Linked DNA regions of Pelodiscus sinensis. The protein of the gene in region 1 interacts with the protein of each later gene in a pairwise test. Links are inferred from orthologs where the notes say so. Each region holds a gene or a part of one and is shown in the gene's direction. Other genes may lie near its edges.

Region 1 (7,352 bases):
CCTCGAGTATCAGTTCTCTGGCTGGTTTTATTCAACATCTTTATTAATGACCTGGATGAGGGGATGGATTGCACCCTCAGCAAGTATTCAGATGAAATTAAGTTGGGGGAAAGGTAGATATGAAGGAGGGCAGGGATAGGGGTCAGAGTGACCTAGGCAAATTGGAGGATTGGGCCAAAAGAAATCTGATGAGGTTTAATAAGAACATGTGCAGAGTCTTACACTTGGGCTGGAAGAATCCCAATCACTGTTACAGGCTGGAAACCAACTGGATAAGCAGCAGTTTGGCAGAAAAGGACCTGGGGATTACAATGGATGTGAAGCTGAATATGAGTCAACAGTGTATCCATGTAGACAAGAAGGCTAAAGGAATATTAGGGTGCATTAGGAGGAGCATTTCCAGCAGATCTAGAGACGTGGTTATTCCCCTTTATTCAGCACTGGTGAGGCCACATCTACAGTATTGTATCCAGTTCTGGGCCCCCCCACTACAGAAAGGATGTGGGTCCAGTGGAAGGCAATCAAAATGATTAGGGGGCTAAAGCCCATGACCTACGGGGAGCAGCTGAAGAATTGCTTTTCTGATGTACTTATCCAGAAATTCTTCCTGAATACAACCCATAAAGAGATTGATATATTGTAAAGACACCCTACTCTCCATGGTTGTTTCAGTCGTTTGGATGAACTGTTTGTCATTGAATGTAAAATTGTTATGGGTGAGGATGAAATGGATAAGTTTGGTGATGTGTTTGGGGTAGACATCTGAGTGTTGCCCATTTTCTTGTAAACATTTGAGATAGGCAGCAATTCTATCATTGGGAGGGATGTTTTTGTATAGGAAGGAAGTGTTGGTAGGCGGCAAAGGATGGTGCTCTGAGGGAGGTTGTTAATGTTATAGGTTTTCTTCAGAATGTCAGTTGTGGCCCTTTATGTGTCAAATAGTTTGAAAATTCCTTCCATAATAGTGCCTTGGCCATGGTTCCTTTGTTTGTATCTCGGGAAGCATAGAAGGTCCCTTGCATGGGTTTGTGAGGGATTAACATTTTCTTGTATTTCCTGAGAAATGCCGTCAGTGCTAAGTCAACCATTCCCTTCCCATGCCAGTGAATGACATCGGCATCAGACATACCATCTACTGTCAGGTCTTCATCCATTTAGACAAATTTGGGTAGGGAACAGAGTCTTCAGGAGCCACCATTATTGTCAGGTCAGGATTTACTGTTGTGGTGTCCTGATAGGTCTTCTGCTCTGTCAATGATGATAACTAGAAGGCTGCTTGCATGTGCTCAGTGATGTGTGCTGTGTTGACTTGTAGAGTTAGTTAACACAGCAGACTTCAAGAAAGCCCGCAAAGACACAAATCAGATAAGGATCAAAGGTGCCCAGTCAGGTTTATTGTTAAGCGAAGTACAGTAATAGTTGTCAGAAGATTCTACCAAGCCACTATGTATAGGTACACCAGAAAAATGGACCCCCAGCTGTTCGAGGGAAGCCTCAACCTCTGTCTGGGAGTACAATTCTTCCACCTGCACCCCATTGTGCACCACCACTTCTAGCAGCTGGACACCAGTTCCAACTGGTGGGACCGGCTTGTGATGGAGCAGTGGGGCAACCAGCAGTGGCTCCAGAATATCCGAATGAGGAAGAAGAACTTTCTGGAGCTGTGTGCCTGACTTGCCCCTGCCCTCACATGATGGGACACTCAGATAAAACCCCCCATCTCCATGGAGAAGTGGGTCGCCATCGCTATCTGGAAGCTCGCCATGCTGGAAAGTTAGAGATCCATTGGCAATCAGTTTGGCATGGGGAAGTTGACCATTCAGGTCCTCATTGTGCAGGTATGGCACTCTCAGGCTGCAATACCAGGAGGGGGGTAGGTAAAGTGCTGGAAAGGGAAAGTCTAGGGAAAGGGGGGATGGCTACATTAGAGGGTGGCACCTGGTGTGGGTGGGCATGAAAGGGGGGGGCTTGGTGGCCTCTCAAGGACTCTGTCACCCCAGTGATTCTTTGTCTCCTTCTGTAGGTGGGGACAGCCATCAACACCATCCTGCTGTGCAGGGTCATCCAGCTCAACAACATGGACCTCACCGTCACTGGCTTTGCCACCATGGGCTTCCCCAACTGCAGGGGGGGGCTATTGATGGCACCCACGTCTCCATCCAGGCCCTCGACCACCGGGAATCTCTCTACATTAATCACAAGAAATACTTTTCTATGGTCCTCCAGGCCTTGTTAGACCATGGCAGGCAGTTTACAGAAATTTACATCAGGTGGTTGGGGAAGGTGAAATAATGGAATTGCTGTATAGACGCTCACATTGTTATTTCAGAATAATGACTGTTATTCTGAAATAACAGTTTAGCATAGATGCATCCTCAATGGCTATGAGTTACACCAGCTTTCATGTAGAACAGGACTGAACCCCTTTCCTTGGGATCTGTCTGTAGCAGCAGAGGCCTTTCAGGAGCCTGGAGCAGACTATCAAAAGAATCAAGATTGGATCCATGATAAAAATTGTCAACTTTGTAATGTTTGGAAGGAAAAACTATCTTCAACGGGAAGGTCTTGTACTGAGGACACAGGGCCAGCTCTTAGGCATCCTTGATTCACTTAGGGTATGTCTACCCTAGCTCGGTAGTTCGAGCTAGGTAGGCAAATGAGGGCAACCGGAGTTGCAAATAAAGCCCGGGATTTAAATATCCCGGGCTTCATTTGCATCTTCCTGGGTGCCATCATTTTTAAATCCCCCTTAGTCCGAACTCCGTGCCCGTGGCTACACAGAAAGAGGTGTACCGCTACTTCGAATTAGAGATCCTACCCTCATTTGCCTATCTAGCTCGAACTACTGAGCTAGTGTAGACATACCCTTGCTGGCTTTGCCGCAGACTTTCTCCATGAACTGGGATAATACACTTAATCCCTCTGAAAATCCTGCTGTTTCTCATCTGTAAATGGATATCATGCAGATATAAAGGGTAGATGCTGAAATTGTGCCTCTAGGAATGAAGTCTTTACATCACCAATCCAAAGTGATGGGAAGAAACTGGAAGAGGAGGAATTTTGAAGGATGATACAGGAGTGGGGTGAGTGGTCATCTTCCCTGAAAAAGATACGCCCATATAATGGTAGGAGAAAAATCCTCATGTTCTCTGTGGCAAGCTGCATCTACATTGTGCTGAAAGGCTCCCTATGTATCTGCAGTACAGGCAGTCCCCGGTTACGTACAAGATAGGGACTATAGGTTTGTTCTTAAGTTGAATTTGTATGTAAGTCGGAACTGGCTTCCAGATTCAGCCGCTGCTGAAACTGACCAGCGGCTGACTACAGGAAGCCCGAGGCAGAGTTGCTCTGCCCTGGGCTGCCTGGAATCAGCCGCTGATCAGTTTCAACAACAGCTGAATCTGGATGCCTAGGACAGAGCAGCTGGGGCGTGCCGGGTAGGTCCCCGCAGGGGCAGCGCTGCGGGGGCCAACTGGGCAGCACCCCAGCTGCTCTGCCCCAGGTGTCCCCAAGTCAGCCGCTGCTGAAACTGATCAGCGGCTGATTCCAAGAAGCCCGGGGCAGAGCAACTCTGCCTCAGGCTTCCTGTAGTCAGCCGCTGGTCAGTTTCAGCAGCGGCTGAATCTGGAAGACAGTTCCGAGGGGCTGGGGCTGCGGGGCAGCCCAGGTGCGCCTGGGCTGTCCCGCTGCCAGCTTCCCCCGAGGCTTTGCAAAGCCTCGGGGGAAGCCGGCAGCGAGACAGCCCAGGCGCACCTGGGCTGCCCCGCTGCCTGAGCCCCTCCGCAGCTTTGCTCCGCGTCTTCCTGGTCTGCAGACCAGGGAGACGCGGAGCAGCTTTTCTCGCCCCGGAGTACACGGGCGGTGGGACCGCAAGGTCCCGCAGTCCGTGTCCTCCGGGGCGAGAAAAGCCCTGTTCATAACTGCGGATCCGACATAAGTCGGATCCGCGTAAGTCGGGGACTGCCTGTACTTTAGACATTCTGAGGCAAATGATTTCTTTCAATAAAGTCACGAATAATACAAGCAGTGTAGTGTTACTTGTGTTTATTTTATATTGCGTTCCATTTATATTATGGTGCTCCCAAAGTTTCAGCACAGTTCAGACTTTTCTGCTGGAAATTCATAAGCACCACTGGATGTGGGGAGATGTGGCTGCTGCTAGCTCACATGCAATTCTGCTAGTACCAATACAAGAAACAGCACAGGTCGATCTTAGTAATTGTGACATAAACGTGATGTAATCAGCACATCACTTACATTGTCCTTTGTTAAATAGCTCCTTGTGACATCATTATTCCTAACTGGAATGAGAACCATTTACCCCAGCTCAAAGCTATTTAAAAAGTGCTACTGTGTAAAGTGATCAGTGTTTTGTGGAACAATGGTCAGTATGTTATGCCTCAGCTGGCCATGTTGCCCAGGCTGCCGTTGCTGCCCCCCACTGCAAAGGACTGATCAAGAATGCTGTTCATGCTGGCGTTTTTTCTTCACTGATGAGCGGAATTGTAGCTGTTGCCCCTGCCCATATGCAGAAGGCAGAGCTTGCCAGTGTTGTCACTGCTCGTGTTCAGAGAATCCAAATTGTCGTTGGTGCTGCTGCTCCTGTTCAAATGACCCAGACTGCAAATGCTGTTGCTGTACTTCAGAGAACACCACCTGCCAATATTATGAAAGCAGATGCTGCAGGAATACCCTCTATGCATCATACCTTCCCAGAGCCAGAAGACGACACCAGTAAGTGCATTGGAAGAATGATTCTGAATCAGGAGGAAAATTTAAAAAATCATCTGTGTACCCCAAAACCAAACTCACACCCTGAACTTTTATTTCAATTTGGATCAAATGAAATGTTTTATTTCCATCATTTCAAAATGCTCCATTTTGCTGTTGCTCTTTAAGCTATAGATTTAAAAAAAAAAGATATTTTGAAGTGGGCAATTAGAATTTTTCATTTAGAAAATATCAAAATGGTTTGACAATTTTTCAAAACTTTTTTCCTGAAATTTATTCAAGGCTGAAAATTCTATGAAAAGGACTCTGTTTTGTGAACTGTTTGGATTTTAACAAATTCCCCCCAGCTCTAAGGTGTGTCTAGACTGCAGGGATTTTTCGAAAAAAGTGGCCTTTTTTCAAAAAATCTTTATCTGCATCTAGATTACTGCCTCATTATTTCAACAATAAATTGAAAGAACGCAGTTTTTTTTTTCAACCATGGTAAACCTCGTTTCATAAGGAATAACGCCTTTTTTTGAAAGTGCTCTTTCAAAAAAAGGCTCTATGTAATACAAACTGTGCTTTTTCGAAAGAGAGCATCCAGGTAGTCTGGATGCTCTCTTTCAAAAAGGCGGCTTGCTTTTTTGAAAAAGAAATGGTTGTAATCTACACGCTCTTTTTTGAAAGAGGCTTTTTCAAAAGAAGTAGCTTTTTAGGCAGTCTAGACGTAGCCTAAGTGAGTGAAAGCCCGAGAAAATGAAAGAGAGGAGTGTGCAGTGAGATGGGACACATGCTTTCGAAAGAGGCATATGAAGTCTGATGTAAGAGAAAAATGCTGACTGAGGGTATGTGTACTCTAGAGGAAGATCGAAGCTGCCGCTGTCAGTCTTCCAGGGTTCGAATTAGCATGTCACGTTAAGACAGCCAATTTGGACTGTGAGGGATGGTCCAGTCAATGCCGGTAGCCCTGCTTTCACAAGAAGTAAGAGAAGTCGAAGGGAGAACATTCTCGCTTCAACTTCCTGCTGTGTAGACAGCGCCAAAAGTCGAGTTAAGGTACTTCAACCTCAGCTACGCAATTAATGTACCTGAAGTTGTGTATATTAATTTTACTTTATCCCATAGTCTAAATGTACTCTAATAGAAAATGGTGGGCAAGGTATGGGAGTAGAGGAAAATGAAGAGTCAATTGCATAAAAAATCTTCTCAAAAGAGTAAAAAGATGGGATGATGCTAGTTTTGAGGGGAGGGAATTGAAATACGTACAGCACCAAGCATAGATTACATTAAGGAACCACAATGGGGGGAGGGGGAGATATGGCTCTGAGAAATTGTAGCCAGACCAAAGTAGTGCTAGTAACAATAAAAAGTTAGACTGCGAGTAGAGAAAAAAACTGATTGATCTGCTGAGCTACATGACACGTAAGTGATTCTTGCCTTTAAAATATGTAACTCTGGCTCTGAAAGGGCAGCACTAGGAAGAATCTGTTTATTTATGATATTACACACAATAATTGATACATGCAGGAGGGGACAGGCAACAGCCGAGGGGGAGAAGCAGCAATGTGGGAGTGTGTGAGGAGCTTTGGAATATGGGATTAAACAGCAGCAACAAGCATGGAGAGGAAAGAAAAGTAGGAGTGAAGGCAGCATTAGAGAAGCAGGGAGTGGGTACAAAGCCACAGCCAAGTCTACAGCAAAGACTGAATGATGAGGCAGCAATTTTATCTCATCGTTCTAGTGACTATATTAACCAACTGAGCTTATGTCATCTTCATTGGAATGATCGTGGAGAGACAGTTGGCCAAGTTTTTCAAAAGTGACCAGGAAGATTCCAAGTGCCCTGCTGGATACACATTAGACATAGCCTGACTTACAGAGCACTTTCTGAAAATCAGGCTTTTTTAAGGCATCCCAAGTCAGGCATTGAAAACTTTAAAACACCCAACTCACTTTTTAAACTTTTGTCCACAAAGAATCTTGAGTTGGCAATAAGGTGCCATTATAACACTGACTTTGATTCTCCTTGTAAGTCAAACTACAGTTAGATGCAGTTGTTGAGGTACCTTTTTATTTTACTATTCACATGTATAACAACTCATTATAATTTAACATGCAAAGCATATAAACAAGAAAAAGAGATGAAATTAAATACAGGTGTTTGCTAGTGATGTTTGTGTAACAGCTGCAACACTTGTGGTTGGTAATGGCAAAAGGAATATCTTGCAAAATAAAACAGGCAGCTTCATATACACTGTACAAACCAATATGCAACTATTACTGTGAACAGAAATGCTCATTGCATGTACTGCTGGCAGAAGAAAGCACAGTCGTAACCTGTTTCTTTAAATAAAAATCTTGGGGAAAATAGAAATTGATGGGGTTGTACAACATGACCATGTGCATTAGAATCTGTTTCTTACCGAGAATCCATTTTGGGGGGGGGGTTATTTTTCAGTTCAAAAGTTGCCTTACCAAGGTTTCGAAGTAAAAGTGACACATCAATCATTACACTGGAGAGAGATGCATCAGGACATGCTTTTCGTGACCAGCTCACTTGTCCATTGTGTAAACAACTATATCTCTACCCATTTATGCTGCCATGCAACCACTGCATTTGTGAGAAGTGTATAGATAAA
Region 2 (7,736 bases), on another chromosome or scaffold:
GGGGGTTCTGGGATGTGGCCAGAAATGAGGTGTTTAGGGTGGGGTGAGGGGAGATCTGACCTGAGGCAGTGGGTTGGGTGTGGGGCTCCAGTTGGGGGTGCAGGCGGGTGGGGCCAGGGATGATGGATTTGGAATGCAGGAGGGGGCTCCATGCTGGGGCTAAGGGGCTCAGAGGACAGGAGGAGGTGCAGGGCACAGGCTCTGGGAGGGAGTTTGGGTGTGGGAGGGGATTCAAGTTACATTTCTCCCAGATCAATACTAGAGATGTTAAAAAAGACTGAAAATGGGGCTAACACTTCTGATCTCTCACCCTTTGTCTGGTCCAGATTCTAAGCTCTCTAGAGAACAGGCTGCCTGTCACCTCATACCTGTTCAGTCCCTAGCACAGTAGAGCTGCGGACTCATCTGGGGACTTGCAACCACGGCCACAGTGCTAATAACAACAAATTAACCCACTAGACCAAACTGCTCGACATACAGATTCACTTTCTTTTCTCACAATTTGTTCTTATCACTTGCTTTGAAACATTACCTGGTATCACAGGTGTGCTTTGTGCAGCTCTCTGCTAACATGCTGTTTTGCATCTTATTTCAATCACACTCCTTGGTGAATGATAACAGATATCACTGCCTCTCTTTCCAGAGCTGGGTAACATAATAGCATGACTCTTCCTCTGGCACTAAGGGAGGGATTACACAGATACCTGTATGTCCTGCACACAACATCCAGACATATAAACAAGAGGCTTCAGAGGCTTTTGTTACAATGGTCCAGTAGTTCAGGCACTGACCTTCATGTGACAAGGCCTTGGTTCAATTCCATGTTATGCCACAGGGTTTCTATGTGACCTTGATCAAGTCACTTAGTTGTTCTGTGTCTCAGGATACATCTACAGAGAGGTGATATTTTGGGATACCTCAGTATCCCAAAATGCTGTAGCTACCTTGCATCTTAGAAACATGCCTGTTATTTTGAAATAGTTTTTGAAATAACACGGATGCTATTTCACCATCCTTGTAAACCTCGTTGCACAAGGGTTAAGGGATGGCTCGAAATAGCGCGTTATTTCAAAATTTGATGCTGTGTAGACAGTGCCAAATTTCAAAACAGCCTGTTTCGAAATAGACTCAAAATAAGCTCCACAATTTGCATAGTGCAAATTGTGTAGCTTATTTTGAGCTTAGGGTGCTGTGTAGATGCACCCTAGTTTCCCTGTGAGATACACTGCTACTTCACAGAGGTTTTGTGATATATTGTAGGGTGCTGAGGTACCTGGGCCAATCTAAGCATTAAAGAGAGAGACCTGGTTATTTCTAATATGCTGCATGAAAACATATTTTAACTAACAGGAAAACCCATCCCAAACATTTGCTGCTAGTTCAGTTGCAGGCTCTGCTCTGTGTCAAGCTGAAACAGTTATGACTATGACATCATTCAAGCAAACTCATTGACAATGATCCAGCTGAGGCACATAGCTCTCTAAGGTGCGCCACTGTTGGGAGAATCATCTCTGAAACTGTTAGCCCTTCCTCCCCCCTTCATGCAAAGGGAAGAGGTAATCAAAGACGGGCAGCAATACCTTCACTTCCCCAGAGGCATGGCCGGAATTAGCAGAAACCCTTTGTGAAGTCTTAGCATCAATTCCCAGTCAAACAGGAATTGTTTATTTAAACTATATGGGCCAGGGTCTGAAGTCAGAAGGATGTTGCATAAGTAAAGACCTCAAGATTTGATGTTATAAATGTTTTTCAAACATACACCAGCATCCAGAACAAGAGGAACAGCAAAAATCCCACCCATCTAACCCCAGTTCCCGACACCATAAAATGTCAATATAAGTGAAGCGTATCCAGGATTGAAGGACTGTGATAGTTTCTTTAAGGGTTAAAAAATAAATCCTTGGCTATTGCCAGAAAAGCTAAACAAACAAACCCTAAAGGAGCTAGTGCTAGTGCAGAGAGACACCATGCCAAAGCACTCAGCATAAGAACCACCATATAACGCAGACATGCCTGGCTGCTTTTTGACTTATCTGCTCGGGTTTCAGCATCATTAATTTTCCCTGAATGTGGAGCAGAACCTTTAATTTTGGTTTTTGAATTGTACTGTAAATATTTAGGACATAATGATGACCAGCTCTTTAGGCAGCGGTATGGAAGGCAGCAATGCACCTTCCCCCAGCCCACCTTGCATGGCCCACATTGCTGCGACAATGCTCCTGGGAGTGCAAGGGCTACTAATTATGCTGCTCGGGACCACGTCCCCTGAAAGTGGGAGAAGGAGAGAGAGAGAGAGAGAGAGAGAGAGAGGAGTAGGCAGGGCTATGGAGTTCTACCTACTCCCCCATCTGCACTGGCCGATAGATTTGGCTGGCTGGCTGCACAGGATGGGGTTATTTAATGGGGGGGTGTCAGACTATGCTCCTCTCTGTGTAACCAGAGAGGCTCCAAGATGCTTCCCAGTGCTCCCCCTGCTTCTGTCCCCAGCTCCGCCCTGCCCCAGCACAGGGCGGTATCTTGACAGCACTGTCTAGCCCTCAGTTATGTTAACATGGTTTTATGTAACATGGTTTTATGTAAATACATATTTGGAAACTGCCACATGGGGCCCAGGTTGTAGTATGAAGCAGCCTCTGTTTCTATACTATAGGAACAGATGACACCACAGCGCTGTGATCCGCTGGGGTGAAGATAACGGTGCAAGAGCAGGACTAGCGATGTGCTCCCCATAGCAGAGCAGAGGCACCAAAGGACTTTGTCTGGTTTTTACCTGGGTGTAACTGCATGCAGACGTCAGGAATTTCTGACCATTCAAGTGATCACCACCAGAGACAGGGAGATAGGACTCCTGGGTTCCATTGCAGCTTCTGACACTGATCTGCTGTGTGAAATGATAAGCACCAGGCACTTAAGAGTACTTAGGACCCAATCTATCAGCTTCATTTAGCATGGACACTCTAAGGGTATGTCTACACTACCGCGCTAATTCGAACTAACTTAGTTAATTCGAACTAAGCTAATTCGAACTAACGGATCCAGACTAAAAAACTAGTTCGAATTAGCGTTTTGCTAATTCGAACTAGCATGTCCACATTAAGTGGACCCTGAACCGGGGTTAAGGATGGCCAGAAGCAGTGCCGGCAGGGAATCAGATGAGGACGTAGAGCGTGGAGATGCTGTCTCAGGCTAGCCGAGGGCTGTGCTTAAAGGGTCCCGACCCCCACCACGGACAGACAGTTCTCAAGGGTTCCCCGCTTGCAAAGCAGTCCTGGCTTGGAGTGCCCTGAGTGCCCACACTCGGCACATCACAGCACTCGGCCATCAGACCGGCTGCACTTGCCGCAGGCTGCCATCTGGGGAAAGGGGGCAATTGGGGGGCTGTAGGAGAGCTTCCACCCCCAGAAGCCCGCAGAGCCAGCCCAGTCCTCCCCATCGGGGGCTCGTACACCATTCCTCCCTCACCTCCTTCCACTTACCCTTCCCTAGCCCCCCTTCCTGATGTACAAAATAAAGAAAACGTGTGGTCAAAAATAGAATCCCTCTTTATTGAACAAAACTCGGGGAGACTGGGAAAAGGAGGTGGGAGAGGGGAAGAGAGAGGGTGGGAGAGGGGAGGGCAACTAAAATGATCAGAGGTTTGGAACAGGTCCCATATGAAGAGAGGCTAAAGAGACTGGGACTTTTCAGTTTAGAAAAGAGGAGACTGAGGGGGGATAGGATAGAGGTCTATAAAAGCATGAGTGGGGTGGAGAGGGTGCATACAGAAAAGTTCTTCATTAGTTCCCATAATAGAAGGACTAGAGGACAACAAAGGAGAGGAATGGGTAGCAGGCTTCAAACTAGTAACAGAAAGTTGTTCTTCACAAAGCAAAGAGTCAACCTGTGGAACTCCTTGCTGCAGGAGGCTGTGAAGGATAGAACTATAACAGAGTTTAAAGAGAAGTGAGATAAAGTCATGGAGGTTGGGTCCATGGAGTGGTATTAGCCAGGGGGTAGGAGTGGTGTCCCTGCCCAAAGTTTACCTAATTCAAACTAAGCGCTCCGCTAGTTCGAATTAAGTTCGAACTAGCGAAGCGCTAGTGCAGCACCTATCAAAGTTCATTTGAACTAATGTCCGTTAGTTTGAATTAACTTTGTAGTGTAGACATACCCTAACTGACAATAGTTTTTCCCATTTTTTTCCTTCTCTTTCCCTCCTCATCCCCTCTCTTTCTCTGCTATTTATTGGAAACCTGGACCCCTTAACTCCATTCATCTGAAGAAGTAGGTTTTGCTCATGAAAGCTCATGATACCATCTGCATTTTTTGTTTGTCTCTAAAAAGTGCTGCAGGATTATTCATTGTTTTTTAAGTTTTTTCAGTTGCAGACTAACTTGGCTATCCCTCTGAAACTTTTGAACATGCCCAGTGGTAGGCACTTAAGACTGTTTACAGGCTTCTAGAATTCCCAGGCACTTCAGGACAGGGCCTTCCGGCTGTTTCGAAATGGACAGCCAGGACTTTTATAAGTGTACCTTGGTTTCAGAGTCTATTTGTTATATGTAAACACATGCCAAAAAAACACCCCTTGGGCATGCTCAGTAATGTCTAGCTCTTTGCAAAAGGCATGGGGAAAGTCACATGTGATAACAGTGAGAAGTCCATATGTGACTATTCTTAGCCCTGGAATGTACACAATGCCTCATTGCCTGGTGGTTCTTTCACAAAGCTCCTGAAAGCAGGGAAAGTGCCTTCAGAATAAACAAATTCAGAAAAGGCCCTCTATGAATCACTTACCAACAGAAAGGAACGTCTTGGGGGTATATAGTTTTTATTCATGTACTAGCTATGGAAAATCTCAGCAAAGAATAAACGGCACAAAGTGAGTGAAGTGCAGTCAAGGACAACATAAGGTAAACATTTCTAAGCTGTAATTTCACTGCATATTGAGCAGTCAGATAGCCATGAAGATAGATAGCCATATTATCATTCTGCCTGGCACATTGTTTAGTTGTATGTCTAATTAATATAAAACAACAGCTAAGCAGAGTTAATAGCCATTTTAATGCAGATTCCAAGTCTCTGAAGTTTGTCCTACTGCAGAGTTTAGCTCTGCCAGATTTACATTCTTTGGGAATGACTAACTTTAAGGGAAGGAGTCATAAGTTACTCCGTTGTGAATACTTTTAAACTAGCAAAGAACAGGCTAAGTACATTTATTAGACATGTTTAAAATGAACATACAATTTGCTTAGGGCTTTTCACATTAAATCCAAGTCAGCAACAGAACTGTAGTGCTTATGTTTTGTGTCGTGCTAATAAAAGAGTCAGACCTCACATCTGATACCTTTAAAAAACAAACAGATGCTGAGTGACCACTTGGTTTGTGTACTGCCTTCCCACTCCACTCAACCAGTGTTCCTATTTCTATGCACAAACAGAGAGTAACCATCAAAGATCTGTTCCCTGGCCACTTTGGGACAGGGCATTGAAATAAAAGCTGCTAAGAATTTGTTTTCTCTGCCAAGCCCAATATTCTTCTCTCCCACGTTTCGCTATGGAGGAAGAATCTGCAAAGGACTTTCTCTTCACAGACCAGGACTTCTCCTCTGAACTGCTGAGGCAGCTCAACATTTTAAGGCAAAAGGGGATGTTGACTGATGTTACTCTCTGCACTAGTGAGTTTGAAATCCCTTGCCACAGGAATGTGCTGGCTGCAAGCAGTCCTTACTTCAAGGCAATGTTCTGTAACAACTTTAAAGAGAGTTGCCAAGCAAAAGTCGACTTGAAAGGCATTGACTTCAATATTTTGTATCAGATTGTCCTTTATGTTTACACAGGAGAGATTCTTATAACACCCGAGAACGTCTTGTACCTCATGGAGGCCACTTCTATGTTACAATACATAAAATTGTTTCAGGCCTGCTCCTTGTACCTCCAGGGACAGCTGACTCCTGATAATTGCCTGAGCATGATAAGGTTCTCTGAAATCTTGAACTGCCAGAATCTCAATAAGAAAGCCAAGGAGATGGCTCTGAAGTGCTTTCCTGCAGTAGCATCTTCTGAAGACCTGAAGGAGCTTTGTGCCCTGGAACTTATTGATTACCTGGGGGATGATGAGCTCTGTGCTGAGGAGGAACAAGTGTTTGAGACACTGATGGTCTGGATCCGGCATGACCTCCAAACACGACAGGGCTACATCCAAGATTTGTTCAAGAAGGTCCGGCTCCAGTATGTCCACCCAACCTTCCTTTTCCACTTCATCGCCAATGACTCCCTCATTCAGTCTTCACCCGCTTGTAGAAGCATCCTGGAATCAGCCCGGAGACAGATGTTCTCATTGTATAGCACCAGCACTCCTGACATCAAACCCATGTGGCACGTTCCTCGCCGATATTCATACCAAGAGTTTCTCATAATCATTGGTGGCAGGAAGGACAACCAGACGACAACCAGGGACGTCCTGCTGTATGATGAGAAAACCAACCAGTGGCTGAGCCTCGCCAAGCATCCTGTGCGCCTTTACAAAGCTTCCACAGTGAGCCTGCATAGCAATATCTATGTATTAGGAGGGATGCCCGTTAGCAATGAGAAAAGTCCAGTCAGTGATCATGTTTATATTTTCTCCCTCAAGCTAAATCAATGGAGGTTAGTTGAACCCATGCTGGTTCCACGTTATTCCCACAGAAGCATAGCCTATAAGAACTACATTTTCTCAATTGGAGGAATTGGAGAGAACCAGGAAATACTGAATTCCATGGAGAGATACGATAGCATTTATAACATCTGGGAGAATATGGCAAGCATGCCCGTGGCTGTACTTCATCCTGCTGTTGCAGCTAAAGACCAAAGAATTTATCTCTTTGGAGGGGAAGATATTATGCAGAACCCTGTCCGTCTAATACAGGTAACTGTTGCTCCTGGTCAATATACGTGCATTTCGTCTAGGGTGTTCAGTGATTGATACCAAACCTAGTGGGTGAAATCAAAGCCCAAGATAGAACTGAATTTGCATTGAGTCTCATGCGGTAGAAGGCAAGAAACACGTGCCTAAGTTGGAAATGCTCCAGTATGTAGAAAATTATGTTTAAATGTTTTTATATTTCCACAAGTAGCCTTTATTATTAAGGCCCAAAGCCTGAGGCCCTTCTGAGGTTTTACTCAGTCCTTTCTCAGGCAGACTCCCATTGATTTCAATGAGATTTTCCTCATTGAGTAAAACTGAGTACAAGATCTCAGGGTAGAGTCTCTATGATTTTGGTGCATGTGAAAGGTGTCATATTGAAAGTCTTACAAAGTTATGCCTACTCAGGCCCTACCTCTAAGAACTTAACCACATGGCTAATTGTATATGTGAGTATTCCTGGTGAAGTCAATGCTCACTATTAGGTGGGTGATTAAGTGTCTGCTTGACTGAGGGTCTCAGTCCTTCATCCTCAGACAGTATCAGCAGAGACACCAAATTGTGATGGCAATTACAGGCAGTCCCCGGGTTACGTACAAGATAGGGACTGTAGGTTTGTTCTTAAGTTGAATCTGTATGTAAGTCGGAACTGGCATCCAGATTCAGCCGCTGCTGAAACTGATCAGTTTCAACAGCGGCTGAATCTGGATGCCAGTTCTGACTTACATACAGATTCAACTTAAGAACCCCAGGCATCCCCAAGTCAGCTGCTGCTGAAACTGATCAGCAGCTGATTCCAGGAAGCCGGGGGCAGAGCAACTCTGCCTCGGGCTTACTGTAGTCAGCCGCTGGT

What was found.
Region 2: the proteins of TRIM42 (region 1) and KLHL38 interact in binary tests that used the Homo sapiens proteins (3 or more experiments, as listed by UniProt). The two-hybrid records come from large-scale screens. The link is inferred for Pelodiscus sinensis from reciprocal best matches to the Homo sapiens genes TRIM42 and KLHL38.

What each region holds. Positions count from the first base shown.
Region 1 is NC_134720.1:12,775,150-12,782,501, forward strand, and holds the start of TRIM42 (tripartite motif-containing protein 42), read left to right. Parts: upstream 1-4,310; 5' UTR 4,311-4,381; coding exon 4,382-4,734; intron 4,735-6,337; exon of another isoform or gene 6,338-6,761; coding exon of another isoform or gene 6,762-6,775; intron 6,776-7,171; coding exon 7,172-7,352.
Region 2 is NC_134712.1:19,646,634-19,654,369, forward strand, and holds the start of KLHL38 (kelch-like protein 38), read left to right. Parts: upstream 1-4,659; 5' UTR 4,660-4,892; intron 4,893-5,420; 5' UTR 5,421-5,536; coding exon 5,537-6,886; intron 6,887-7,736.